4 linked regions of the Lytechinus pictus genome follow. Each later gene encodes a partner of the first gene's protein in a complex. Links are inferred from orthologs where the notes say so. Each region holds a gene or a part of one and is shown on either strand. Other genes may lie near its edges. The genes, in order: structural maintenance of chromosomes protein 2-like, condensin complex subunit 2-like, condensin-2 complex subunit D3-L-like and condensin complex subunit 3-like.

Region 1 (6,963 bases):
TAACACATAAGAAATTGAACTGATATCGCAATTTTTTAAAAGTAAATTTGCCAAGAACACCACAAAGAGTTTCTGCACCAAAAATTAGAACATTTGGAGCTTTATTTAGGGAAATAGAGGACAAATTATGATTTTGCATACTAATTATTTGTAAATTAGCATAATCAATAGCAATTTGCAAGAAATAAATTACAATACAATTTTGTAGATTATATCCCACACAACCTCCATGCCAATTTTTGACGCGATCGCACGATCAACAGCCGAGATCTTTATGATCTCCCAAAATACCATGGCCTAGATCTATATAGGGTTAAGATTAAAATAGAAAATTCCCACAGATTTTATTTTTTTAAAGACTATCAGTGAACTAGAACTGGACTGTTTTCATTTTGCTTAGGGCTTATTTTGGGATATTCCATTTATCCTCTCTTAAAATGAAATATTTTGGTCTCGGGTCAAAGAAATGGCTGTGCCTTCAAATTACTTTTTTTTTTTTTCTTTTCTTTCTACTTTTCATTCATATCAACCATGTATCCTAGCATGAAACTGATTCTAGATTAAAGAACGAATAACATACTGTTATCTTTATTCCCTTCAAATCAACTGTAAATCAATTTTCATAACAAATTTAAATTTCAATGGAAAATCCATAGAAATGTGTGTAGATTTTGTAATATTCTAATATGGATTTGATCATGAAAGTTCATATCATTGATAAAGGTTGCAGTTGATGGCCAAAAATTTTGAGGTAAATTTTCCAGTGTATTGAGAACAGTTGAATTCCTCAAAATTGCTATTGATTGTGCAGGGATAATAGTTTTTGTGAAAACGACCCCATGATATCATTACCTGTCTTGAGACTGTGAATTCATCAAAGCTGTCATATCCTACTGGACTCTGCTTCTTGTCTCTGTTGTCAAAGACTATTGTGACAGTTGCTTTTGTGACACCGGCTTGGCCTCCCTTGTACACCAGTTCTTGTAAGCTGCCAGCTCGAACCTAGTACAACAAAAAGATGGATCAATGAATCAATCATATACAGTACCATACAGATGGGGGGGGGGGGCTTGGGGGAACTTGTCCCCCCTAAAAAAAAAATAATAAAAAAAATAAAATAAAAAATCACCGCCAAGAAAAACAGATAAAGGAAAAGAAAAAAGAGAAGGGTGAAATCGCAAATTATTTTCTGAATTTATTATGTCGAATTTTATCACAGACTATTGTATAGAAAATGTCGAAATTTTTGCTCACTCGCAACTATATTTTAAAAATAAATCTTGCCCGTTACACAATATCTCAGCTCAATACGACAGCAATCATAGACAGCACGACCCAGATGACAATCAGCCTTTTATTGAATTTTATTGAGGCCATATATTCAAAATTCTCACATTTTGCCAAAAATGGGTTATCAGAAATGAGGATACAAGAATCTTAAAAAGTAATACATGGCTTTCGGATATATCACACTCAAATTCTTGAATAGTTTTGTTTCTTTTTTTTATTGACTCTATTCTTGTTATTATTGAGACAGCAAGTCGTGAAAAATAGATGGTGAACTACATGTAGGGGAATTGAGGCCACTGAATCTATTTTTAGCACTCTCAATCCCCCAAATTGCCATCTAATATGTCCCGAAGGAGTAAGTGAAAAAAAAAAAATGTCCCCATACAAGGACAGTCTCAATTCATCAAGACATGATTTGTCTTGGTTTATGAGGATATCCTTGTTTTCTGGGACAATCCCAATTTTTCGACCAGCACCTCTACTGGTTTGTGAGGCGCGAGGACATGCATTCCTCATTTTCAGACTATATAGTAATAGTGCGCCTTTGTTTGCATATATCGCGATATGCATGCTGTCGTCTTGGCGAAAGACAAAGAAAACAAGATGGCGACATAACCGCGGTGGCAAGTTTTCCTCGTCTTTTCATATTTTTCTCGGTTTTTTTAATGAATTCTTGTTTAAAAATGAAATCAATATCGTAGAAATGTCGGAAATGAAGTTGTATCTCATTTACATGATTTAGGGCTAGGCCCACTCACACGTATTGCGAGGTTAGTATTAGTATACTAACCTCGCACCACGAACCGCGTTTGGAAGTGGAAGTGGGCTAGGCCTAGATCGTTTAGAAGTAGAAATCTCGGGGGCGAAAGTTTCAGTTTTTTTCGCGGTGCACACGCGCATGAACGGGACGCAATTCCTGGCTCCGTGGAGAGTAAGCCTATGTTAGTAGAATAATTCTTATTCTCCAGGAGCCTCCTGCATGTCCTGGCTAGTCAGAAGCCCGTTTGTTTTGTGTGAGGATGACAACAAAAATCCTAGACCTTATCAAAACAAAAGTAGACAGTGAATTTTTAAGTAGACGGTGAAAAGCTAAAAAAAAGGGTGATTTTTTTATGAGGAATCTGCTTATAACATTTTTATTTGCCGCCAAGCTAATCCTCTTTTTCATCATGTCAATTCATCATTCATGGGATCTGTTTCATGTTTGAGAAGTTGTGATCTGATCGACAAATCCGGACAATGCCAAAAATCTAGGCCTAAAGTAACAAACTTAGGCTAAAATTCATAGCTTGGCATAGAAAAATCTAAATAAGGGGCCAATTATGGTCTAACGTAAATTTTGTTCAAAATTTTCATAAACGAGTGATTTGCCTATTTGTCTGGATCTCATTCAAACTCAAACTTTCAAAGAACATTCAGTTTTCACATCGAAAATAGCCTTAGTCCCACCTGTGTTAAATTGGAGATCCCCAACAAAAAACAAATCGAGTCGAGGATGTTTGACTTTCCAGAACCGTTCAATCCAGTAATTGCGTTGAAGAGAGGGTCAAATCCCTTGATTTCCGTCCTCTGTGCATATGACTTAAATCCATCGATGATTATTTCCTTGATATACATCTTGTATTCCTGAGATTTAGTCCCAAAAAATAATATTTTGAAAAGTTGTATTGCGGCACTGCACTCCGCTCCGTTCAAAGCGCCCGGTTATTTGGCGGTTGACGTCTGCGCATGCGCGAAGCTCGAAGGCAGGCTTTGCAGTTGTTGTTTATGATGTTGGGTTTTTTTGTCTTGCGCCATCACAATGATTCAAATACTAGTAAATATTTTGGGAAATTTTCTGTTCGGTCGGGTTTAAATATTTTAATAAAGTAACTAAACTCTCACCAAACACCCCCCCCCCCCAAAAAAAATGTTTAAGTTTGTGTCGGGGTTGTTTAAAATTCAAGTCCACGTACGCTGCCAGAAAACGTTGATTTGAGTTAATAAGAAAATTGTGACATTTTAAAGTTTCGCTTATTTTTTACAAAACAGTTTTCATGACAACTCATTGTGCAAATTAGGGTGTACGATGATGTCCCGCACTCACTATTTTGTTATTTCCTCAATTTGTTGTGTGAATTATACAATATTTAGGCCCTATTTCATTTGTAAGGATTTGACAATGAGAACCAACTTGACTGAACAATATGAAATGTTAAAACAATATTCGACATATGTTCAGGGAGGAATAAAAAGTTTGTTTCATGGACAATGAAGAGAAAATAAAAATATATAATCTTTAAAAAAAAAGCAAAATAAATGACGTCATCAGTCCCCTCATTTCTATACAGACTCAGAACAGGATTTTTACGTGCACGATATATCTGCACATTTTGTGAAATTAAGCAAATTTAAAGTATATTATTGACAAAATATTTTTTTTTATTAATTCCAACTGGTTATGATGAAATTCTAGTGTTCTCTTTTAAAAATTCAAATTAACTTTTGTCCTTTAAAATGATATATTAAAAAATGATGCCCTATAGTATGCAGCATAGGACTACCTATTACCTTCCTAGCTCGTTTTTATTTAAATATTATCCTATATGAAATGTAAACTTTTCTTTTTCAGATTTTGTTTCATTTATGCAAATCATATAATAATTGTGACTTTTTGTGTTAATTAGAATTGAACGCTTCTTAAAAATAATGTTCACACCAACAATATTGAGTAAAAAGAGACAAAGCATGCTGATGAAAATCGGATGCAAAATAAGAAAGTTATGGAATTTCGCTTATTTTTAAAAAGTTATGCAAAACACAGTGGTAATCATCATGGAGAATCGATATCAGTCACTCACTATTATACATTATTTCTTTTTGCAGATTTGACAATAATGATACTCTAGCTTCATCGAATTTAACATGTGTTATAAGAGTGGCAATTGTCAGGGAGAAAAAGTGAGGAGAAAATGTTTGTTAGTTATTATAACAAAAGAAATAGTGAGTCACTGAGTTAATTCGTCATCGGTACGTCATTTGGATACCGACCAGGTTGTGCATAAAACTACTTTGTGAATTAAGTAAAACACTGTCAGAACTACCTCGTTTCATATCCAATTTTTAAGATTAAACGTACTTTTAAATTATTTTTTTCTACTTTTTTATTCAAATAAAAGCTTTTTTGATTTTGTGAGGATGGTTTGCCCTTTAATCATAACAAATAAGCATATATCAAATAATTTATTTCCAAGGCGTGAATCGGGATGGAATCAGCCCCCCCCCCCCCTATTGGTGGTGGAATTTAGAAAAAAGAGAAAGAGATGCGTAAGGAAGGAGGAGAATGAGGAAGGAGGAGAAAATAGAATTATGATGAAATAGGAAGAAGACGGAAAAACCAACAGAAAATATATGATTAAAGAATCTCGAATATATGACGAAAGGAAAAATTGAATAAAATAAGATATGGGAATGACTGACAAATAAAAAAAACTCGCAGGTTTCACACTAGGATTATATTAGGTCATATGCATACAGATCACTTCAATTAAGACTGGACAACGAAAAACTTCTTGTTCCATTTCTTCCCTTGTAAATATTGACATTATTGATGCTTTCTTTTCTTTCTTTCTTTCTTTGTTTGTTTCTTTTTCTTTCTTTCTTTCTTTTTCTTTTTTTCCCTTCCTTCCTTCCCTTCTTCTTCTTCTTCTTCTCTCTCTCTCATATGATTCATCATAACATTGGAATTCTTTGCCCCTCAGTCATCAACTTCTTCAACTTCAGTTTCCTACAGTAGGCCTGTAATGTACATGTGTAGATGAATCTATCAACCCTATGATCCCTTTCTCTCTCTCTCTCCTTCTACCTATCTGCCCATTTCTCTTCTCTTCCCTGCCTCCCTCCTGTGCTTCCTCTCTCCATCTTATCCTTTGTTTCCCTTTCTACCAATCATCTTCCTTTTCACCCTGTATCTCATTCTCCTTCTCTACCCCCCTGATCCATTCTCCTTCCAAACCAATCTCCAATTCCCCCTCCACCCACATCAAACGATGTGTAATAGAGTACCGAAGTGATGACGTCACTTTTTTTTGCATTTCAGCATTTTTTATACCGTATTCTGGTAGAGCATGATGAATAACCCCCACTTCCAAAATCTGGTGAGAATCCATGGGGGCCTGAGATATGACCTGATGAATACATAGTTAGTCCAATCATAGAGCTATTCTGTAATAGCTCTATGGTCCAATTGAATTCAATGTACACGTATTATTGGCCTGGTTCCTAACATTTAGAACCAGGCCAATAATACATTGACTTCGATTGAGCTAATTATGTATTCATGAGGTCATATCTTGGGGCCCCACAGACCGATTCCTACCATATTTGGGTTGTGGCAGTTTTTCATCATGCTATACCAAAATATGGTATAAAAACGCTGAAATGCAAAAAGTGCAAATTTATGACGTCACATTTCGGTACTCTATTAACATTCCTCCACACATTAAATATTTTGAAAACCACAGTAGCTCAATAGAGGTATAAGGATTTTAAAGCTAAATTATATTCAATAATAAATAATAAACAAATTCATTCTTCAGTTTGACAAGGCAACATCTGTTGTTTTTAATTATGCTCACATTTTAGTTATCCATTCACCATGAACAGCAATGAAAGATAAAGATAACTGCACAGATCCACGATGGCATAAATGATACGATTTACAAAAAGTACACTTTAGGTATGAAGAGAATACACAAACGTTGGTTCGTAGCATTAACTTTGCTTAGAAACGTTGAAGGAATCAATCCAAACAATAAATGATGACCAACATACATTTCCTACATGGCACGCGATACATTGTCACCCAAGCTATAATCTCAAATACACTCAAAACGTGAGGGGCATGACAGCTACCAACTAAATATATTACGCAACAGTGCTAGAAAAGAAAATGTTAAGATTTTTGCCTACGCATACTGATATGGAAGCTTTATGCGTACAAAGAAAATTCAGTTCACCATAATGCATATATTTCTTTGAGTAAAAATCCTCAGAGAGAGATTGTTATGTTGCAATACAAAAGTAATTATAATGATAGCAGTTTGGTATTTTGTAAGTTGTGTAATGAGCTATATTACAGCATTAAACTGTATAAAACACATATTTCCTTGTAATAGGTAATTTGATATACTTCACTACATCTTTATGGTAAAATAAACAAATATATCGGGCTTTGAGAAAGTATAGTGGAATTATTTATCCGAGGTTGGTCTGGCAATTACTATTTTTTCCCGAGGGGCAAAGCCCCGAGGGAAATATAGTAGTTTTGCCAGTCCAACCGAGGATCAATAATTCCCACTATGCTTTCGAATGAAACGCCTGATATATTTGCTTTATATCCTACTTTTAATAATTTATAACCAAAATCTATGCGCTGAGCATGCAAAGTCCTGTTGAATTACCTACTTTTCTCCGAGCCACCGCGCCCAGCGGAACGCAGATTAGTGTCTGCGCTGACGCATCGCGCTGGACTTGCGCGCCCGGGAGAGAGAGAGCGCGCAAGCCGGTGCGCCGAGATATCCAGTTTTGTGAAATAATGACGTCAGAATATTGGTATATCCAAAAATATATCGAGGTCTGACGTCACGCAACATCATAGTTGAAATATATTCGGTCACATGATGCTACTTGAAC
Region 2 (7,338 bases), on another chromosome or scaffold:
GTTTGAGTAAAATAGGACTAGCAATAGAAGAGTTATGAGCATTTGAACGTCGAGATCACTAAATGCTATGGAGATCCTCCCATTGACAATGCGACCAAGATCTATGATGGCACAGATGAACAACTCTCCCCTTTTGGACACTGAAAATATACCCCAAAACATCTCTTTTTGCTCATTCTAATCATATGACAAACGATTCATCAATGATATAATGTTGTGAAACCTCTGTACTTGTCCTCTCATAAAGAGAACACCTCACCTTGTGATAGACTCTATAAAAATGAGAATATAAGTGAAATAAGTACTAAAGTAATGAGGGAGTTGTACGTGTGTGACATCACAGATCTTGGTCGTATTGCCAATGGGAGGATCTACATGGCATTAGTGATCTCAATATTCAAATGCTCATAACTTTCTTATTATTCATTCAATCTTGCTCAAACTTTCAACAATATGTTTCTTTGATTTTTCTCTTTGATATGGATTCAGCTGGTTTCAAGGGTTTTATTCTCCTTTAACACAATTTTAATTTCAGCCCAGTTGACACTGTAGTGAATTACATTGGTGACATAAATTGAGGATATAGAATTGAAATTGATGAAGAAATGACATAGAAGCATTTTTTTGTGATCTATGAATAAATTTCATATAAATTAAGCATAAATAATTTTCTAGTCAAAATTTCTTAACTCTGTGTAGAACCTTGGTGAACCTCATGTAGCTCTCAGATGGAACAAAAATGAAGAAGTGGAATTTTCTGTGATTTATGAATACATTTTGCATAAATTGGTATGAATAATTTTCTACTGAAAATTTCAAAATTCTAAAAATCAAAATCGGTCGATAATTAAAGAAGCATTTTATTAGAATTTTTTGAAAAATACGCATAAATTAGCATATTTTATGAGTTTCAAAATTCTGTGTAGAAGTTTTAAATCCCCCACCTAATGCTATCATATAAAGCAAACATAATTGAAATCAGACTTTAAATGATGAACAAGAAGCGTTTTGAAATTCAGTCAACAAATAAAGAAGAGGCATTTTCTGTGATTTATGAATTTTGCATAAATTAGCATAAATAATTTTCTACTCCAAATTTAAAAATTCTGTGAAGAAGTTTAGTGAACCTCATGAAGCTCTACCAGATGGAAGAAAAAAATCAAAATCGGTCAAAAAATAAAGAAGAAGAAGCATTTTATGTGAATTTTAAAAAATATGCATGAGTTAATTTCGCATAAATTAGCATAATTTTCTACTCCAAATTTAAAAATTCTGTGTAGAAGTTTAGTGAACCTCATGAAGCTCTACCAGATGGAAGCAAAAAAATCAAAATCGGTCAAAAAATAAAGAAGCATTTTTTGTGAATTTTGAAAAATGCATATAAATTAGCATATTTAATGAGTTTTATATAAAGCAAACAGAATTGAAATGGCGAAGGAGCATTTTGAAATTGTGGACGGACGACAGACGACACGCCACAAAATTGCAAAAACATGAAAAAAAGGCAAAAATCTCAGATTATCTCGGTCATTTCTCTCTCTAGTCTAAGTCGATCTAACTTAGAAAGTCAAAAAGGGGCCTAAGCTTTCGATCCTAGCAGAATCTTCGTCGGAGGCAAAATGACCATTGATCTAACTTAGACTTAGCTTAGGCCTAGTCTAATTTACATTTTTTTTACAACTCTTGTTTGAGTGAAAAATTTACTCCAAACATCCAGTCTTGATCGTTTCAAGAAATTTTTAGATTGTTTCCTCTGCCTCTGTTCTGCACTGCCGGTGTAAAAAATATTTCCTGCAACGGTAAAGGTTGCAGAATTCCAAGTCAACCCATCAGGATTTTTGACTGCAATGATGCAATCATGCCTTCATGATTCATGGACATGGGCCATGGCAATTGAATTATGTTAAACTTATGTACCGTAAGGGCACTAGTATTCAACCCGTTTGGAGAGTTTCCTCAAATATATAGAAATATAGAATTTACCTGAATTTCAGACCCGTCTTATTTCCAAGAGCAAATGCTGGTTATTCTTTTTCCGTTATTTTTTTCTTCAACCAGTTGACTGTGTGCGCGGGCGATCGAATTATACGGCGACGGATTTTGGTACTAGTATTCAACCCGTCGGTACTAGTATTCAACCTAGCGATGAAAGATGGCCCTGTCTCTCAATCTGCCCTTGTCCCATCCGACTATGGACTAGACCATTTGAGATGAGACCAAACAGGGAATTAATCAAAGCCAGAGTCTTACATAGATCTAGATCTAATTTAGCAATCTAAACCCTTTTGAGATTTGCTATCAATCCTCACTAGGTTGAATACTAGTACCATTCAGTGCAAAAGGCCATCGCCGCATAATTCGACCCTCCGCGCATACAGTCGACAGATTGACAAAGAAAATATCGACAACAGATTACCCTGGAAATAACAAAGGTGTGAAATTAAGATAAATTCCCCATTTCTAAATATTTTGGGGAATATGTCAAAATCTTTGAATTATGCCGGGTTGAATACTAGTACCCATACGGTATTTTGTCATTTTTATTTAATTTTGTTTTTTTTAGCACGCCTCAGGCCTCAATTGTTTAAAAATTGCTCTCAAACAACATTAAAATAAAAAACTTCATAATTATTTGTGATATAATATATGATGCATGTATGTCAAGAAAACCCAGAGCATGATGATTTTAATTTATGTTTTTTTTTGTCCGAACAGTCTTCGTATTAAATAACATTAACAGTCACAGAATTTAATAGGTGGGACTGATGTAAGATTCCAGTAGGCCTAGATCTAGAAGAAACTGCAACTTGTTACGTTTACTATTCTACGCCTATAATAACAATTTCGGGCGCACCTTCTAACCAATTACAAATTTAGGCCTAGTACATAGCTAAAAAAAACTCACCTTAATAAAATGTTCAATAGACTTATAAGGACAAATACTTGCGGCTTGTTTACAAACAACTTTTGCGAATATTGAAAATGGCGCTGAAGACATTTGAGTAGGTGCGCATGCGCAGCCGATAATCTTGGCTCCATGCGCTCTCTCGCGCCGCTCGCTCGATCGCTTGCTGTAGCTAGCTAGCTCGCGCTCGTTCGAATCGCCCCCCCCCCCCCCGGGCGGGGAAGCAGGTGAAGGGGGGGGGGGGGCTTTATTAAGAATTCTTGGCAGTGAGCGGTCGACAATCATTCGCAGGCTTATCTAGAGTAAAATTGCGCTGATTAAAAATACACTTGTCCGAGTCCTAATTATTGACCCCCGGCCCCGCTCGCACTTTCAGTGCCTAGGCCCTATTTGAAATAAAATTCATTTTTTAAATCCCATTTCATACCCATATTTTGAAAAAATGGGGCAGGAGCAAGGAAGTCCAGGCCTAATTCGGAAAAAGGGAAAGATACGGGGAAGGTTGAGGGAAAAGGGAAGGAAAGGAAATTAGAAGAAAAAACGGGAGAAAACACATTGCAGTAAATGGAAAATAAAGACTGACAGGAAAGACAAATTATGACTTGGATTGGGGGCGAAAAAATTTTTTGTATAGGTCTTTCCACTATGAAATAACCATTTAGCTATTAAAGCTCCACCAAAATTTATTTCAGGACATGGCGGATGACAGGGGAGCTAGAGGGGGAGGGGGGGGGGGGTGATAGATGAACCGCCAATTTAAAGGCTGGGGTCCGGTTTCTAAAATACTCCTTTTTTGTTTGTCAAAGTTTTTGTAATATAGTTATAGGCCTATTTTTCTTCTTTTCTGGCACTTAACGATGAAAAAAAAATTATCCTTGAATATGGAAATTGTACAACATAATGCTTAATATAAATAATTAACGCGCCTATAGTTCACAGATTTTTTATCTATTCATTTATTTGACCATCGCCAATCACAATATCTTGATCATCCCTCCACTGACTATACCCTCAATAAAGTATATTTTTAAAACCATTAAGATGTTTTGCCTCAATTTATTGAATAAAGGACGGTATAGTTAGTAGTTAAAGTTACGTTGCAAGACATTAAAGACAGGCGCGCCGGAACACTTTAAGATTTGAGGGGGCAAAATCTTGAAGGTCGGAGCACAATTTTTGTGACGTTGTGAGATCCTCGGCGAGAAAGCAAAGCGATCGAGCGGGTGGAGGGCACGAGAAGGGGATACAAAAGGCAAATAGGAGGGACGGAACATTATTTTTCATTCACATTTCCCCCAATTGACTGCTAAAAGCTGATTTTTTTTTGTGTTTGAAGGCCTTTTTTTTTTGGGGGGGGGGCAGTCCTATGTATATAAAGACTGTAGGCCCGTATTTCCAAGTCAGGTTTAATTTAGACCAAGGTCCAACTCTACCGATGTGCTAAAATTATGGGAGTCAAAAATTATCTTTATATTATGAATTTCTTATGTTTAATATTTTGTTTCATTTTGCATTCATTACAAAGGAAAATAATTCCGTTGCCATTCTCAGGCAATTGTGAACAATTGGGGTGTCGAATGAGTAAATATATATTTATATTAAACCACAACTTTAAACCAGGGATTGATTTAAACTCGAGTTCAAAATACGGGCCATGGTGTTTTAACTACACCTTATAGCCTTATGAAGAATGTGAGCGCGTGATCTCAAATAATAATAATAATAAATAATAAAAGGGGGCACGTGCCCCCTGTGCCCCCCTGGATCCGCGCCTGACTACTACTACTACTACTATACTAATAATAATAATAATAATTATAATAATGATAATGCGGCGCCGCGAGTTGAATTTTTGGTTAATAGATCGAGACCTTGAGACCTAAAAACAAAGAAATTCTAAGCACATATAAGCAATGTAAAACCAAGAGAAGTATCCTACTAATCAAACCTTGCGATAGCAAACATAGCGCTTCATTTATGAAGAACACCATCCACATATACTCGGGCGCGAAGTGCAAGTTGTAGATTTTTGATATTCAGACATGTAAATTAACATTTTAAAGACTATTTTTAGGACTGAACATATTTATCTAATTAAATCATTAAAGGGATGGTCCGGCCGGGCTGAAAATATTTATATCTGAATAAATGGAGTAAAATTCACAAAGCAAAATGCTAAAAATTTTATCAAAATCGGATAACAATTATAACGATTTAAGTTATTGAATTTTAAAATTTATCACTATTTTGTGAAAACAGTTATATGATGGGCTTATGATGTCACATTCCTTTTTATTTTGTAATTACATGAAATCATAAATGTTTCATTTTTTCATACATGTGTAAATGATGTGTCTGCATTATGATGAAATAAGTTGCGGCAATAAATAACTAATGCACTTAATCAGTTGTCAATCCAATTGTTTGAGTTCTTGGTAGAAAAATTTGAATAAATCTAATTTTATATAATAAAATACAAAAGAACAAGTGGGGGATATGACATCATCAGCCCACCTAATGAATATTTATAAAGACATGCCTAGAATAGTTTCACCGGAATAATTCAAATATTTAAAATTCAATAACTTTGTTATTTGTTATCCGATTTTGATCAAATTTTCAGCATTCTGCTGAAGGTGCCGTGGCCGAGTGGTCTAAGGCGCCTGGCTATACATAAAAAAAGTCCCGGTTTCGATCCCCGGCCGCGGCACATCGATGCCTGTGAGCAAGGCATTTAATGTGCAATGCTCTCTTATCCTGCTTTCAAATAAATGGAAATGCTATAGGCATTATTGGTAACTTGGTGTGCACTTGTTTAAAAAAAAAGAAAAATTCTGCTCTGTGAATTTTACTCTTTTTATTGAGATAGAAATATCTCCAGCCTGGAAAAACTGAAGGCGAGAGTGCGCGAAGCGGGAGTCAGTTGAAATGTATTTTATATTTAGACATAAAATCGGTACATTTTAAGCACTTTTAGTAATCATGAAAATGACGTATAATATCTCAAATTAAAGCGTGTGGAGATATATTTTGACTTGAAAAGCGAAAAAATATCAGAAGCCACTGCAGGGCCCATGGGCCAGCATGATCGGGAACCGCTTTCACTACTCATTCAGTGGTCTGAAACGGCTAGCTGCCATCAAAACACTAATTTTACAAAAATAAGTAAACTTGCTAATGCATGTTGTCGCCCCATTAAAAGAATTTCTTTTACTTATGAAATTGACAGTTTAAGGCAACAATTAAAGGTGCCTTCATTGTTTAATTTGTCTTTGAATAATGACCTTCTTTTAACTTTTGAGAGTGAAAAGGATTATGGGGGCAATAACGTATTTTTTTTCCAATTCATTTTTCTATTAGTGATACCATAGATTTGGCAAAATTGCGACGTGACATGTGCGAGCCGACGTGATTGCCACGGATTCTGTACTTTTGAGTTTTGTAGATAAATTCATGAATTGGTGCTTTGTCAGACAAAATGCAACACGACGACGTAAGTTTTTTTTTAATAAAATTCAATGAAACGCTTTTAAATGTAACTGGAATAGTCTACTTATAACTTGACGATGCACAATATTAGATGTATTTATATTTCCGCGCAGCGACTGGCCTGGGCTGGGCCGGGTGTCGGATTTAATCATCAGTCCCAGGCATTTAATTTTCTGTTAGCACCTGCAGTTTTAGACAGCTGGCAGCCGTCTGTTTCGAGGAGTTTTTAAACATTTTTTTATTTTTTTTATTTCTCCTCGTACACAGACGGCTCGCTAGCGTGCAGCCACCATTAGGGGACTTGCAATGCAAAATCCCCCCGTCGGGGCTCTTCAATTTTTGTCTTTAATGAATAAAATTTTTGAAAATTAACGCGACCAAAATGCAAATTAATATTCCCTCTTGGCATTAATTGCCAAAAAACAGAGAAAAATCAAGTTAAAAGTAGGGACAACGGTATATTCGGTATTTGCTCTATCAAAATCCCTACATACCATTGCGAGTGCGTCGAGCGCGTCCGTTGATCCTACGAAGCCCCAATAATGCATCCCTCTTGACTGATAATTTCACCCTAAATTGAGTTATTTCAGGTAGCTATGATATATTTGGCATTAAAAGGATCGGTAATTATTTGTCAGTAATTATTTAGTATTCTATATTTTCGAATGGCTTACCTCTACTTGTTCTTTGAATGGGAAAATATCGTACTTTGTCCTTGTATTCCACATGAACTGCAGAGTTTGTATGTGTATAAAGTCAATGGGGAAATTCAAAGTTTTGCACACGCGACCCGTCACCATGACGTCACCAGGATTGCGTGTGAGCGAGCTAAGTTTGATTTGGGGGCGGCGCCCTCCAAAATTTGACCAATAAAAATTCTGCATTTGCTGCATCTTTTGGGATTTTCCCTAAATTCATGTCTCAGGGACCGTCTTGGAAGTGCG
Region 3 (7,000 bases), on another chromosome or scaffold:
GGAAAAAAATATATATAACAGGTTAAAAGTTTATATTCAGTTTTGATGAATCCCCGGAAAGCACATGTATGCAGCAATTCTGATTCATTATGAGGGGAACTGCACACACATAGCTAGAAATTCCTCCTTTTGCACCACACTCACACACCCAAATATTGACATGGTTATGAGGAGAAAAATCAATGTTTAACACATTTCTGACATATGATGCTATTATCAATTTTTTTTTGTATCAAATTAAAGAGAATTAAATGCTCCTTAAAGATAGCCTACTTAACAGTTTTCATATACATGTAGTCACTACCATTATTGAGTGAGTGGGCTATACATGGGTCAAAAATACTTTTTTTGTCATTTTAATACGGCAACAGTTTTTTTTTTATTCCTTGTAATTAATATCTCAACATGAAATGACAATATTTTTTGTCTTGGGTCCGAGAAAAAAGTGTGCCGGGCCAAAATCCAAAATGGCAGCCAAACCCCGCAACTGGATCTGGATGTATACGAAACAGGGCCCTCATGGGCATAAACGCATCGGGTACTTGACCTAAATTTTGCCGGGACCGGCAGGTGCAATACACCGGATGAACACCCTAATCTTTGACGAAATAGTGTATTGGTGTTAACATGCATAGGTTGTACCTCTCCTATGTAACACAGGAGCAACATTTGCGTCCTTTCCGATGGATGGAGTGTTTTCCAACTGCATTCACACCTGCACTGAATAGTGGTGAGGCACGCTAACACACAACGCTATAGCATCATACTTTTTTGTTAGACGCGTTTCGGCATGAGCGGGACTGAAACCCCTCATGTTGAGATCTACGATCTTATTCGAAACATGCGCTCTAACCGACTGAGCAACGCTGCCTCGATGACATCGCAGTGAAAAGTTTTGGTCACAACTTCTTTATTTGGTAAAAAGGGGATTTTAAGTAGTTTGTTGTAAAATCAATATTGAGACACGTACACAATTCGCCAATCAAAATGCGAGCGTGCAGCGCTAGCTGATACGTTTTGACAATCAGACCTGAAAAGGGATATTTTGAAAATGTTATGGAATACACGAAAATAATAGTAGGGCGACTGCACACAGAGAAAAAAAATCGCCCTTTTCACCGCATTCACACAGCCAAAAATGGTCATGGTTTTGAGGGAAAAATCAAAGTTCAACGCATTTCTGACATATGATCCTATTATCCAAATTTAATGAATTTGGTATCAACTTAAAGAGAATAAAATGCTCCACATGTATAGCCTACTTACATGTAGTTTACATTTGGTTACTACCATGATTTTGATGTGGCATTAAAAAAGGAAGTTCAAAGTTTTGTATCTTGTGAATAAAAGTACCATATTTTTATAAACTAGTGGGTTTTTGTAGTATTGATAATGGCAAATCCAATGGAAATACTCATTTTTCACCTTTCCTTCAGGATCAAGTGTCAGAATTGCTTTCAAAATACCCCCCCCCCCTCCCATACTCCAGAAAGCCCAATGCAAAACTGCACACAAAATATCTGCACTCTGTGTGTGGTCGTGTGTTTCAGCTGTGAGTGTGTTGTGACAAATTATACTACAGAGCCTATTGGGAGCATTTGGTGGAATTTCATTCGAAATTCATTTGATTATTACTCAAAAACTGATTCATGGATTACTATGAAATTTGGTAGATTTCTATTTTGCACTATTTTTATCAAGATCTGAAAAAATCAAACAGTTTAATGAAGTGGTTGATGAGATAGAAAAATCTTGTGGTCTCCCTAATAATAGGTAGGGCCTACCTGATAAATCAACATTTGCGATAAAATTCAGGCCATAAAACTGATATTTTTACAGAGCACCTTTTAAAAATCAATTTGTAAATCACACAAAATAATGAAAGTTCAATTTCAGAGGTGAAATATATTGTCAGTAGAGGCGCTGGTCCAAAGATTGGGATTGTCCCAGAAAACAAGGATATCCTCATTAACCAAGACAAATCATGTCTTGATAAATTGAGACTGTCCTTGTTTATAGGAATTTTTTTTGTTCACTTCCCCCTACGGGACAAAGACATCAATTACAGGAATTGAGAGTGCTAAAAATAGATTCAGTGATCTTGACTTAATTCCCCCCAGTTCACTGTCTACATACACATGGTCTATTTTTCATGACTTCCAGTCTTCCAATAATCTTGTTATGAAACCTGATTTGTTACATTGACTAGCGTACTTGATTGGTGTCGGCACTTGACAGGTGAATGAACTTTACTACATTTCTTGTGAAGAAAGCTTTAAAAACTGAGACAGTCGCTGTAAAACTGGGACAATCCCAATTTTCTGACCAGCGCCTCTGACACTCTGATTGTGTATAGGCCTAGTATATTATTGACTTCCAAACTTGTTATTTTGACTCCAGATTGAACAAGATTATAAGATATGAAAATCACCCAGCAGGTAATGCGAGCGTGAACCTAAAAATTTTAAGTGACATGATGATGAACATTATCATGATGAATCATGATGATGAAAGATTCTTTTTATTTTCCAAGTAGGGCCTAGTAGTAGTACCGTAGGCTAGTAATTCCCCTCATCTTATTCACTCGTCTTCCTCCTCTTCCATTTCTTTTTTTCTCCTCTCTTTCCCCTTTTATTTGGCTCCGCCAATAGGGGGCCCGGGCCCCTCGCCCCCCCCCCCCCCCCCCCCCCCCTGGATCCGCCTATGAGTATGAGCGGAATATTCAAATATTGTCGCCCGGGAGCGCCGGCGGGCCAGCCGTGCACGTACCGCATAGCGGCACTAGCTTCCAGAGCAGATCAGCTAATCAAAGTTACCTTGCAATAAAATTATAAAAACAACATCACTCTTAAGCAGGAATACCTAACGCTAGATCTCCTAATTCACATTAAGTGTCGTCTCACCTTCATCTAAGAGTTCAATTCCCAAATTTGCAAAGCGTTCAGCGACGTTAGATTCCGGTTCTTTCGCCATCTTCCTTCTCAATCAAATTTCCCGCGCGCGCGCCTGCCGGCCGTACCGTACGTTTTAAAGGAGAATGAAACTCTTGGAGCAAGTTAGCTTTTGTGAAAGCAGAAAAATCAAAGAATAAGATCAACAAAACTTTGAGTAAAATAGGACTAGCGATAAAAGAGTTATAAGCATTTGAATGTCGAGATCACTAATGCTATGGAGATCCTCCCATTGGCAATGCGACCAAGATCTGTGATGTCACACACGTACAACTCTCCCATTTGGACACTGAAAATATACCCCAAAACATCTCTTTTTGCTTATTCTAATCATATGACAAACGATTCATCAATGGTATAATGTTGTGAAACCTCTGTACTTGTCATCTCATAAAGAGAACACCTCACCTTGTGATAGACTCTATAAAAGTGAGAATATAAAGTGAAATAAGTACTAGAGTAATGAGGGAGTTGTACGTGTGTGATATCACAGATCTTGGTCGCATTGCCGATGGGCCCTGAGGATCTACATGGCACTAGTGATCTCAATATTTAAATGCTCATAACTTTCTTATTATTCATTCAATCTTCCTCAAACTTTCAACAATATGTTTCTTTGATTTTTCTCTTTGATATGGATTCAGCTGGTTTCAAGGGTTTCATTCTCCTTTAAGTTCGCTGGACTCGCGCGCGCATATGCATAAACACGCATAAACATCTCTGTTGAGGCATGGATGGTTGAGGCGACACCTTGCACAAGGGGGAAGGGGCACTGAGAGGGGAGCTCAGTGGGAAGGGGGCATATGGCCGGATCCCAAAAAAAATCACCACCATAAAAAATGAGAAAAGAAAGAAAATTAAGAAATTTACTTGTCGGACGTTTTATCCGACAAGACCCATTTTGTCCGACAGTTACCATAGTAACAGTACCTCTCAACCAATCAACATCAGAGAAAGATGTCAGATCTGACAACTTGTCGGATGAAAATGTTGATGAAACACTCCCCTGGGGGGCGTTTCATGAAAGGACTTGTCGGACGTTTTATCCGACAAGTCCCATTTTATCCGACAGTTACCATAGTAACAGTACCTCTCAGCTAATCAACATCAGAGAAAGATGTCAGATCTGACAACTTGTCGGATGAAAATGTTGATGAAACACTCCCCAGGTCTGTATGCAAATGAGGAGACTGATGACATCATCCACTCACTATTTCTTTTTTATTTTATTATATGAAATATGAAATATTCTAATTTTCTCCTCTTTGTCAAGTGAAACAACGATGAATTCCTCTATGAACATGTGGAATTAGCATTGTTTAATGCTATATGGTTCAGTCAAGTTGGTCCTAGTTGTCAAATCTGTAAAAAAATACACTGTAAAAAGTTTACTGTAGATTTTACAGTAAATTACTGGCAACTCTGCTGCACGGTAATTTACTGTAATTTTTATTTTACAGTAAGCTACTGTAGTTTCGTCCTACAGTAAATTACTGTAAATTTGAACTAGCTACAGGAAAATACCGTGAAAAGTGCTGTAGCTTACTGTAAAATTTACCAAATTTTAGAATTGTTGCTACTGTAAATTTGGTTAAATTACAGTAAACTACTGTAAATTTCCCTTGCATTACAGTGAGGTACTGTACACTTCCTACAGTAAAATGCTGTACACCTTCCCAATTTACCCCCAGTACTGTACACTCCCTACAGTAATTTACTGTAAATTGACCCCATTTACAGTATGTTTTACTGTAATTGGCACAACTTCCAATGACAAAAATACACTTGAGTAAAACTTTTGAATGAAACTTTGAAAAGTCTTTATTGCATTAACATGCAGTAGAACTGACAATGCCATATTTCACAAACAGTACAATTTTTGTAAGGATCATGGGCAAAATGCTGGCAAGTAGAATGTGTTGCATAATCAAATTTCAAAGATGACAATTATACAGAAACTATGTACACAGAAATGTCCTAAGAATGCTGATGTTCATTACAGACCTGTTCACTAATGTAGTCAAATTTCATGAATACTTTGTTCCTCTGGATTTGGTAATAGGTAATTACCATGGACTGAATGGTATTACAATAAGTGGCATCCTTTTTGCATGCATAAACTCTTTATGTATTTGTTGGACCTGTCAGAGCAAGCAACAAAGGTTGTAAGAACAACCATAAAATTTGGTTGGTGTTACTTTATCTGCTGTTTGCAATTCAGTTGACTTAAACATTTTGTAAATAAATCTATTCAACAAGTAAAATTCACCTTGCATGCATTAAAGTAGTTGTAATTGCTAACCTTACACAAACTTTCAGGCCACTGTATATTAAATGAGAGTACATTAATGAACAGGTGTGTTTTAAAGCAATCCATTTACATGAAGGGTACCATAATCATTCAAATATTCAGTCATAACCCATTAGAATCAATTACAAGTGAAAGCAATTTTTCACTTATGCAACTACTGCCTGAAATAATGGCAAACTTTCAATTTCTTTAAGAAAACAAATCTGACTAAAGTGAACTTCCTTCTAGGAGGGCTTGTCTCAGCTGACCTTGGATGAACACTGGATGAACATACACACGCACACACGCACACACACACACACGCACACACACAGACTCTCTATCTCTTACATCCACATATCCGTAGTAACACGCAAAATGCTTACTCCATGGTAACCTGACGACAATGCTTCTACCAGAAGAAAACTGAATTTTTAAGTGAAACTTCTCACTTATGAGTAATTTTACATGTATACTATTAATTGATAAAAAATTAAGTGTATGTCAACTTCTTATATATACATATTCCCAAAAATCTTATTAAGACAGAAAACCTTATTCAATCCTATATCAAAATAATGAATAGTCCTAAACACACACTGAACCAATAATTTATATTACAAGCATACAAATACATTAACTGCCATGAATACATTAAATTGTGACAATAATATTACATTGCATACAATATTCCTCACAAATAAAGTTTCTTACAACAGTACTATCAATTTGATATTGAAACTGGCAAGAAAGAACCCGAATGAGAGTATTGCTACCATTGCAAATACTTAATATTTACATGAATATTTGACGAACAAACATGTACAAATATGACCTCCAATTTTGCCAAAGTAATGTTTGTACTGTGACACTTGAACAGCTGCGAAAGTGAAAGTATGAAAATGTTATAATTCTGTGAACAACAAAATACAATGTAGTAAATCCTCAGTAATCATAATGAAGAAAAATGTCAATCTGTGAGAAGTATCTAAAATTTTCAAATTTTTCTGTACTACATCATGCAAATCTGCTATTTTGAGAAACTCTTGAAATGTAATCAAAATGTCACATGCTTTTTCATTTGAGGAATTTCTGATACATTTAATATCCTTTTCTGACTATAAGAAAACAAAAAATTGCTACATCACCTTAAGATTTCCTGAATTTCTTGATATAATTTGGTCCTCTTTACAAAAATGGCTAACAGTCAGCCATGCATGATATGCAATAATGGAGATCACTGTGTCATTCATGTAATAATAATATAATAATAATCTCACTCCACCTTGGTAGGCTGTGTTAAAGCCACATACATTACAGAAGTTTACATCGTTCTCAGTAAACAGCTTATTGCAATATTTGTCAACATCTTGATGACCAAGCGCTTACTACGCAGTATATATATATACATATATATATAATGTAGCACAATGTTGAAATCGAAATTGATTTACAGCAATGTTAATCCTAACTAAAGATGAATTTTCGACCACGAATGTTGGAAATAGATGCCTCCGCTACTGCCATACCAGAAATATATTTCCTAGTTTTTATTTCCATAAAGAAAAAAAAAACCCTCAAGACCTTTGATCTTGTGACTTCAAAATCTAGTCAGATAACTGTTTCTCAAAAAAGCAAATATATGCATTTGATTGAATCCAGAGAGCTTGAGATTTGACTTTCAGACCCAAAATCTTAATAGATCATTGTCACTTGTATATGCACAAATGAGCGAAGTTTGAAGTTGATTCGTCAAATG
Region 4 (7,558 bases), on another chromosome or scaffold:
GATACAAACAACCATTTAAATGTTGTAATTGTAACCTTGTTTATGAAAGGAATCAGACTTGGTATTCACTTAAAAGGACAAGTCCACCCCGACAAAAAGTTGATTTGAATAAAAAGAGAAAAATCCAACAATCATAACACTGAAAATTTCATCAAAATCGGATGTAAAATAAGAAAGTTATGACATTTTAAAGTTTCACTTAATTTCACACAACAGTTATATGCACATCCTGGCCAGGATGCAAATGAGGGGACTGATGACATCACGCACTCACTATTTCTTTTGTATTTCATTATCTGAAATATGAAATATTCTGATCTTCTCACCCATGTCATTTGAAATCGAGCTTTATTCCTCCCTGAACTTGTGGAATTAACATTGTTTTAACATTATGTAGTTCAGTCAAGTTTTACATTATTGTCAATTCTGTATAAATTGAAATATTGTATAATTCAAACAATAAAAAACAAAAGAAATAGTGAGTGATGGACATCATAGACTCTCGCATTTGCATATCACTGAGTTGTGTATATAACTGTTTTGAGAAAAATATGCGAAACTTTAAAATGTCATAACTTTCTTATTTTACATCCGATTTTGATGAAGTTTTCAGTGTTGTGCTTGTTAGATTTTTCTCTATTTATTCAAATCAACATTTTTCTGGGGTGGACTTGACCTTTAAAAAAAAAATAGCAAGCATATCCTGGGGACCTAATCTGGGTCCCAGAGTTGTGATTGATCCAATCACCCTGAATTATATGGCAATCCAGAAATGTCATAACTTTTACTACCAGAAATGTGCACGATGTCCTTTGGTAACAAAGTGGAGGGACACTAAGATGTCAAGACAACAATGAATGTATGAGTAAACATATCGAGAAAACATTTTGAACAAATATGTGGGTGTTGCTGGCTTTCCATAGTTGAGGTTGATTGGATAGCATCTCTTTTAAAGAAGGACTCCTGGTGGGTGTTTCATAAAGCTGTTCGTAAGATAAATGACTTTACGAACGACTGGTGATCCTTTCTTGTGCTCTGTGATATCCCTATGTAATTGAGTTATGACCTAAGAACATGTGTAAAGTCGTTCGTAACTTTACGAACAGCTTTATGAAACACCCACCTGGGCCCCGTCTTACAAAGAGTTACGATTGATCCAATCAATTGTAACTCTATGGAAATCCATCATTGTGTTAATTTTTTCTACAGGAAATTGCACAATGTCCTTTGTAAACAAAGGAAAACACACCAAATTGTCAAGAAAGCAATGACTTTATGGATATACATTCATATCTAGAACAATCTTTGAATAAACATGCATTTCATATGTTGACTTTGCTGGCTTTCCATAGTTGCAATTGATTGGATCAATCACAACTCTTTCTAAGACGGGCCCCTGGTATGACTTACTCTTCATTCAGTAGATCAAAGTCCTCCACCAATCCCGAGACGGGAACCTTCTCGAAAATGGTCTTCAGGGCGAGCTCTGCGGTAGCGCAGGAGTTCTCAACATCCAAGCGCTTGAGAAGATCAATGGCATTACCATCAAAGGCTCTAAGCCAGCTCTGAAGCATCTTACCAGAGCAGATGTCCTTGACAATGTCTAGGTTACAAAGATAACATGGTTGACAATGAAGTTTAAAAAACTATTCTGCAATATCCATTTCTTATGAGGGCTTTTAATCAATTAACTATGTACGAAAGATTTTGTTTGTGTTCACGCAAGTCCTAATTATGGATTTCATTAGGGCATGCATGAAGCAGTTCAATTCCTGGGGAAATTTTGGTATTTCCCGCTCTGGTTGGAAACACTGGGAAATATTTCAGATGTACAGGGAGTGCATGTACAAGGAAATGCTAGAATATGCTGAGAGACAATGCCTGAAAATATTCAAGAAGTATAGTTTGTAGTATTTCCCTGTATTTCCAACTATTTTCCATTTTCCTCAAAGACCAGCAAAGGCAGTATTTACCGGAGTTTGCCAGTATTCACCGTCCCAATTTCCAAATCTGGCCAACCCTGATCAAAAATTTTACAAAATCTCGCACTACGTATGGTATTAAATGTGGACCAATTGTCTCCTTCAAATGATTTGTACAAATTCGTCTCGTTGCATTGTTTCAGGTGTCTTCGTTTGCTTTTAAAGTTCAGATTTACCCGGATCGTTGTCCAGCGAGAGTTAGAATTAGTTGTTGAGAGTTCCCACACTTCTGGATTCATCATTTCCAAGAAAGCAAACGTTCTGTGGTGATAGCTGTGTTACGATTTTCTGCTTGCACTTCAATTATTCGTTGCTCCTGCTTTTTGGCTCTAAATCTACCTTTTTTACAATTTGTGACTTTCAATACTTGGAAATCATAATACTCTTTCTGCTTCCAGAATATATTCTGTGCTGTTTTGTATCATTGTGGATTTATTCTTGGGACTTTACCATACTTTGGATATCATCAATTCGACATTATGTGACCCTGAGAACGATGTATTGGACACACCTAGTCCCATACACACTTTTGGATTCGCAAACCGAGCTAATCCTTCGTTGTTATATTTGTCTACCCTCGTAACACCAGGTAACATATTATCATCTTGTGCATGTTTAACTATATGAATTCAACAATATCCTCTTCTTCATATGATACTGAAGCTTCATAATGACTAAATCAAAACATTGCACGAAGATAAAAACTAATTCCTGCCATGGAACCATTGGTTCGGACGACTTTAGATGTAAACTACCAAAGCATATAACAATCTCAAGTATTGACGCAGTTCTTTCACATCTACTGATTCATGATATTACTGATGCTATTTTAGATGATGAACTTGTGGACTATCTTACATCTGAATTGGGGTCTATTTATCCTAATTTAAACCAGGATATAGCCCGCCATTTTAGTATCATATCTCTTCAAAATGGCCGCCCCAAACGTCCAGAAAGCTACAAGCCGAGCGTTAGGCAACACCATGACAACAGTTGCCAAACTGATGTAAGCGTTGCCATTAGCAACCATTATACGGAGCCCGAAACTAATCCTATTGAAGGGAGGTGCGAAACGGATTATCCTCCCTTGACCTCCAAAGTTTCTAATCCAATACATCGGGATGAATGCCCAGTGTTGGTGGAACCCCCATGTAATTACCCAAACACAAAGGATTCTATGGATGATTCACAACCCACCGAGGATTCCCCCGTTCTCGACTCTTGTGCCGAGCATTGCTCATCGTCAAATGATTCTCATGCGCAGACAGCAACTATAACTTCCAATGTTAATCTTCGTGAAAAATTGGATTATCTTGCACATGAGTTCAAGCAATTCAAATCCCTTGTAAATAGCTTGCTTGAAGCTATTCAATCTAGTCATGCACAGATATTTAACAGCCCCAATGAAAACACTTCTTGTCTTTCAAATGACCATCCTTCAGATGACCATCCTCAAAAAGACCCACCTCCCGTTCCAGTACCACTAACCCACAGTGGGAATGACGAAGCTTTCCGAACATCATAAGATTTCGATAAGCAACTTCATGATTACCGTTACAAACATAGTGTGAGATTTACTCATGAGTCTCATACCAGTGAGAATTTAAATTGTATTGAATCTGATCGTGTATTCGTTTCCGATGAGAAAATCAATACCCTTGTGATTGGTGATTCGATAATTAAACATCTTAAACCATTGTCAATGTCTAATCACAAGAATCGAGTCTACTGTAAAACTATCCCTGGTGCCAGAGTAGAGAATGTCTTCGAACATGCCCATCATCTTGCAAATAAATACCATGCAAAAGTAGTTATTCTTCATGTCGGAACCAATAATTTGATTAACGCTGATCCTAGCATGTTAGTTGTACAGATTGAATCTCTTGGCGATCAGATTTTAGCTAACTGTTCTACTGTTTCAACAATTGTCTTGAGTTCCATCATCCCTCATAAGACCTTTCAAAAGGAACTTGAATGGAAAACCTACGAGGCAAACTAGCTGCTTCACCAGATGGCACTGCGAAGGAACTGGAAGTTTATTGAACATAGATCCTGAAAATCATCTCGCCGCAGATGGCGTCCACTTGAACGCTGAAGGCGCTAGACTGTTTGGTTGTGCAATTTCTTCCCATATAATTGACACTCCAAAAACTCAGATTGAATCCTCTGCCACTCCACATCCTTCCTATACAGGATGTTACAACTGTGGTGAACTCAACCATAAACAGAGAAATTGTAGATATGAATCAAAATTACAGTGTAACTCTTGTTCTCAGTATGGCCACAAAGCCAAGTTTCATCGTTTCAACCAAAATTTGTAATTAGTTGGCAAAGAAGATTTTGCCGTTAATGAGCATCTATCCTCCCTCATATGCTCATCTCATAATATGACTTCAAACACATCTGTAGATTGTGATCCTTCACAGTCTTCAAACACATCTGTAGATTGTGATTCTCCACAGTCTTCAAACACATCTGTAAATTGTGAGTCTTCACAGTCTCTTATACATGACTTTAAATATAAAATTAGAAGTTGTTCTGGTTTGAAATTAGCCCATATAAATACATGCAGTCTTTACCCGAAGATCGATGAAATGAGATATCTACATATAACACTTGATTTAGATATTCTGTGTATATCGGAAACCTTGCTCAATGATAAGATCGTAGACCAGTTCATCGCTATTGAAGGCTATGATATAATAAGAAAAGACAGAATTGATAAAAGAGGTGGAGGTGTTTGCATTTATGCTAAAAAATCATTAAATATTATTGATAGATGTGACCTGCTTACTGACTCTACTATTAAAATGGCTCTCATTGAAATTAAATGTAAATCTACAAATATTTTTACCTGCTGCATGTATCGTCCACCTAACACAGACATCGATTTCCTGAATCATTTTTCCAATGTCTTAAAAAAAATTATGATGGATGATAAAGAGTTGATAATTCTCGGCGACTTTAATGTTGATTACCTCAGTGGAAATAATACAATAATACATTCCATTGAATGTGTATTCCCACTACAGCAGCTTATTAAAAAGCCAACTCGTGTTACTGCACATTCGTCCACTTGTATTGACCTAATTCTTTCCACTATACCAAATTCCCATACTACTAGTGATGTATGTGAAATATCACTCAGTGATCATTTCATGATTTTTACTTGTGTTGACTTTGATTTCAAACGTTCTGGTCATAAAATGATAAGCTTCCGAACATATAATGAATTTAATTTGGATGACTTTTTAAGCGACATATCCAAATGTAGTCGTCTTATGAATGATTTTATTCCCGAAACTAGCACGACATGTGACGATATTTGGCTTTCTTGGATCAATGCATTTTTAGGCATTTGCAATAAACATGCTCCTATTAAATGTTCACGAGTTAAAAACAGATACAATCCTTGGATAACGTCAGAGTTGTTAAGTCCATAAACAAAAGGGACTTTTTAAAACGCAAAGCTAAATGTAACCATTCTTTCGAAGATTATCGTAAGCAACGTAATTTTGTGACCAGTACTATTCGAAAGGCTAAGGCTGAGTATTTCAGTACGGTATCTTATGAGTTTAATAATAACCCTAAAAAACTGTGGACTAAATTAAATCGAGTCACTGGCAATTCCAAGTTCTTGAGTGACATTAATAACGATATTACTCCTGATGATTTTAATGATTTTTTATTAATGTTGGTCAAAATATTACTAAAAGTATTTCCCATGACCCTCTATGTTGGAATAATCCACCATGTCCACATGAATTCAAGTTTTGTGAATGATGTTTTAAACTGTTTGAATGATTTACCTAGTAGAAGCAACATTGATGTGTTAGGAATTGACTGTAAATTGTTAAATGTTGCTGCCCCATACCTAACAATGAGTCTAACCAATATCTTTAATTTCTCACTGAAAAATGGGTTTATATTTGATGATTGGAAATATGCGCGGGTTACCCCAATCTACAAAGGAAAGGGAAACAAAGATGTTCCTTCCAACTATAGGCCAATTTCTGTTGTCTCACATTTAGCCAAAATAATGGAAAAACTGGTACTCAAACAATTCATGTCGTACCTAATGGATCATGATTTTATCACAGTGGAACAGTCGGCATTCTTAAAAAATCACTCAACCATTACTTGTCTACACAGAGTTATTGACGATTGGCTAGAAGCCTTGAATGATCGTGAAGTGGTTTCGGTATGTTTCTTAAAAATTTCGAAGTGCTTTAATGCTATTTCTCATGATCTATTAATATCTGAACTACAATATCATGGTATTCATGGAATCGAATTACGATGGTTTCAAAGTTACCTCAATGAAAGAAAGCAATCTGTTTATTTTAATGGTAAAATGTCAAAATTAGGCAAAGTAAAAATAGGAATTCCCCAGGGTGGGGTCCTTGGCCCCACCCTGTTTCTCTTATATATCAATGATATAATCCAAAGAGTAAACGCTGGTTCATGTAGCATATTTGCTGACGATGTTGCCATTTATACAACAGGTAAAGATTTAATAGAAGCTGAATCTAAATTGCAAATGTGCATCACGGAAATTGATAAATGGTACAAAAATAACAGATTGAAAATCAATTCCGATAAAACCCATGTTATGCTAATTTCGACAAAAACCAATTCAAATCCTACTGAATTGAATGTATTCTTAAATGGCACAAAACTTGAACAAGTCAGTTGTACTAGATACCTTGGTGTTAATATTGATTCTCATTTGACTTGGGATGAGCACATTAAACAGTTGACTTGTATAAAAACCTTTCTTACAAAGTGTATATGTTGCGTAAGCTTAGTAGTATGTTAAACACCCATTTACTGAATACCCTTTTCAAATCCTCCATCCAACCTGTCATTGATTATGGAAGCTCTGTGTGGGGAAATTGTTCATCGAAAAATCGTAATCTTATCAAACGGATTAAAAAAAGAGCTTCTCGTGTAGTCACTAAGAATTATGGTGTACGTGATATTAGTGTTTCAAAATTATTTAAAGATTTAAAATGGCAAGACTTTGAGATGCAAAGATATTATTTCATTAATGTACTTATGTATCGTTGCATACATGGCTCTACACCACTCAGACTTTGCAATGAAATAGAAATGTTTTATGACAGACATGGTTTTAATACTCGTAATGCTGATTCTTTAAATGTCGTCCCGCCCAAACCAAATACCGAACTTTTCAAACAATCCTTCAAATACTCAGGTGCAAAATCATGGAATTCTCTCCTAAATGAATTACAAAATCAACAAACCCTTAACTCGTTCAAGAGAAATTATAAACAAAAATATTTTTGAATAAGATTGATATTACTCTTTAATCAGATGGGGTTTTTTTTACAATGAAAAGAATAATTATGTTTACTTTTTAAATTATATTTGATATGTTTGTCATATTAATGTTTTGAGTTTGGTTCAATATTCCTCTTCTCATTATTCTTCAATTTCTTGTTTCATTTCTTTCTGACTCCCATCCCCTCTATTTTCGCTCCATCCCTGGAGTCGACTATTGCTCAATCCTCCGTCGTTTCTATTTCTCTGACATTCAAACAACTGTTTCTACT

Evidence for each region.
Region 2: structural maintenance of chromosomes protein 2-like (region 1) and condensin complex subunit 2-like share a complex: the UniProt entries of both Homo sapiens proteins name them as parts of the condensin complex. The link is inferred for Lytechinus pictus from reciprocal best matches to the Homo sapiens genes SMC2 and NCAPH.
Region 3: the proteins of structural maintenance of chromosomes protein 2-like (region 1) and condensin-2 complex subunit D3-L-like are in contact, whole or in part, in a cryo-EM structure (PDB 9F5W), measured with the Homo sapiens proteins. The link is inferred for Lytechinus pictus from reciprocal best matches to the Homo sapiens genes SMC2 and NCAPD3. Residues at the interface, in NP_001036015.1 of Homo sapiens: Arg112, Ala122, Asn123, Asn124, Thr125, Arg126, Leu218, Lys222, Arg225, His229, Trp940, Asn942, Ala943, Glu944, Phe948, Arg981, Met985, Arg986; in NP_056076.1 of Homo sapiens: Asp31, Met72, Ile80, Pro127, Gly128, Ala131, Phe135, Pro137, Asp141, Lys235, Gln237, Gln240, Leu1121, Asn1196, Asn1200, Pro1203.
Region 4: structural maintenance of chromosomes protein 2-like (region 1) and condensin complex subunit 3-like share a complex: the UniProt entries of both Homo sapiens proteins name them as parts of the condensin complex. The link is inferred for Lytechinus pictus from reciprocal best matches to the Homo sapiens genes SMC2 and NCAPG.

The regions. Positions count from the first base shown.
Region 1 is NC_087255.1:14,793,167-14,800,129, reverse strand, and holds the start of structural maintenance of chromosomes protein 2-like, read right to left. Parts: upstream 3,017-6,963; 5' UTR 2,908-3,016; coding exon 2,740-2,907; intron 1,003-2,739; coding exon 853-1,002; intron 1-852. UniProt on the Homo sapiens protein: Central component of the condensin complex, a complex required for conversion of interphase chromatin into mitotic-like condense chromosomes.
Region 2 is NC_087256.1:27,812,121-27,819,458, forward strand, and holds the start of condensin complex subunit 2-like, read right to left. Parts: upstream 3,013-7,338; 5' UTR 2,906-3,012; intron 1-2,905. UniProt on the Homo sapiens protein: Regulatory subunit of the condensin complex, a complex required for conversion of interphase chromatin into mitotic-like condense chromosomes.
Region 3 is NC_087250.1:11,499,349-11,506,348, forward strand, and holds the start of condensin-2 complex subunit D3-L-like, read right to left. Parts: upstream 3,011-7,000; 5' UTR 2,974-3,010; coding exon 2,904-2,973; intron 1-2,903.
Region 4 is NC_087256.1:26,508,740-26,516,297, reverse strand, and holds the start of condensin complex subunit 3-like, read right to left. Parts: upstream 3,013-7,558; coding exon 2,985-3,012; intron 1,604-2,984; coding exon 1,411-1,603; intron 1-1,410. UniProt on the Homo sapiens protein: Regulatory subunit of the condensin complex, a complex required for conversion of interphase chromatin into mitotic-like condense chromosomes.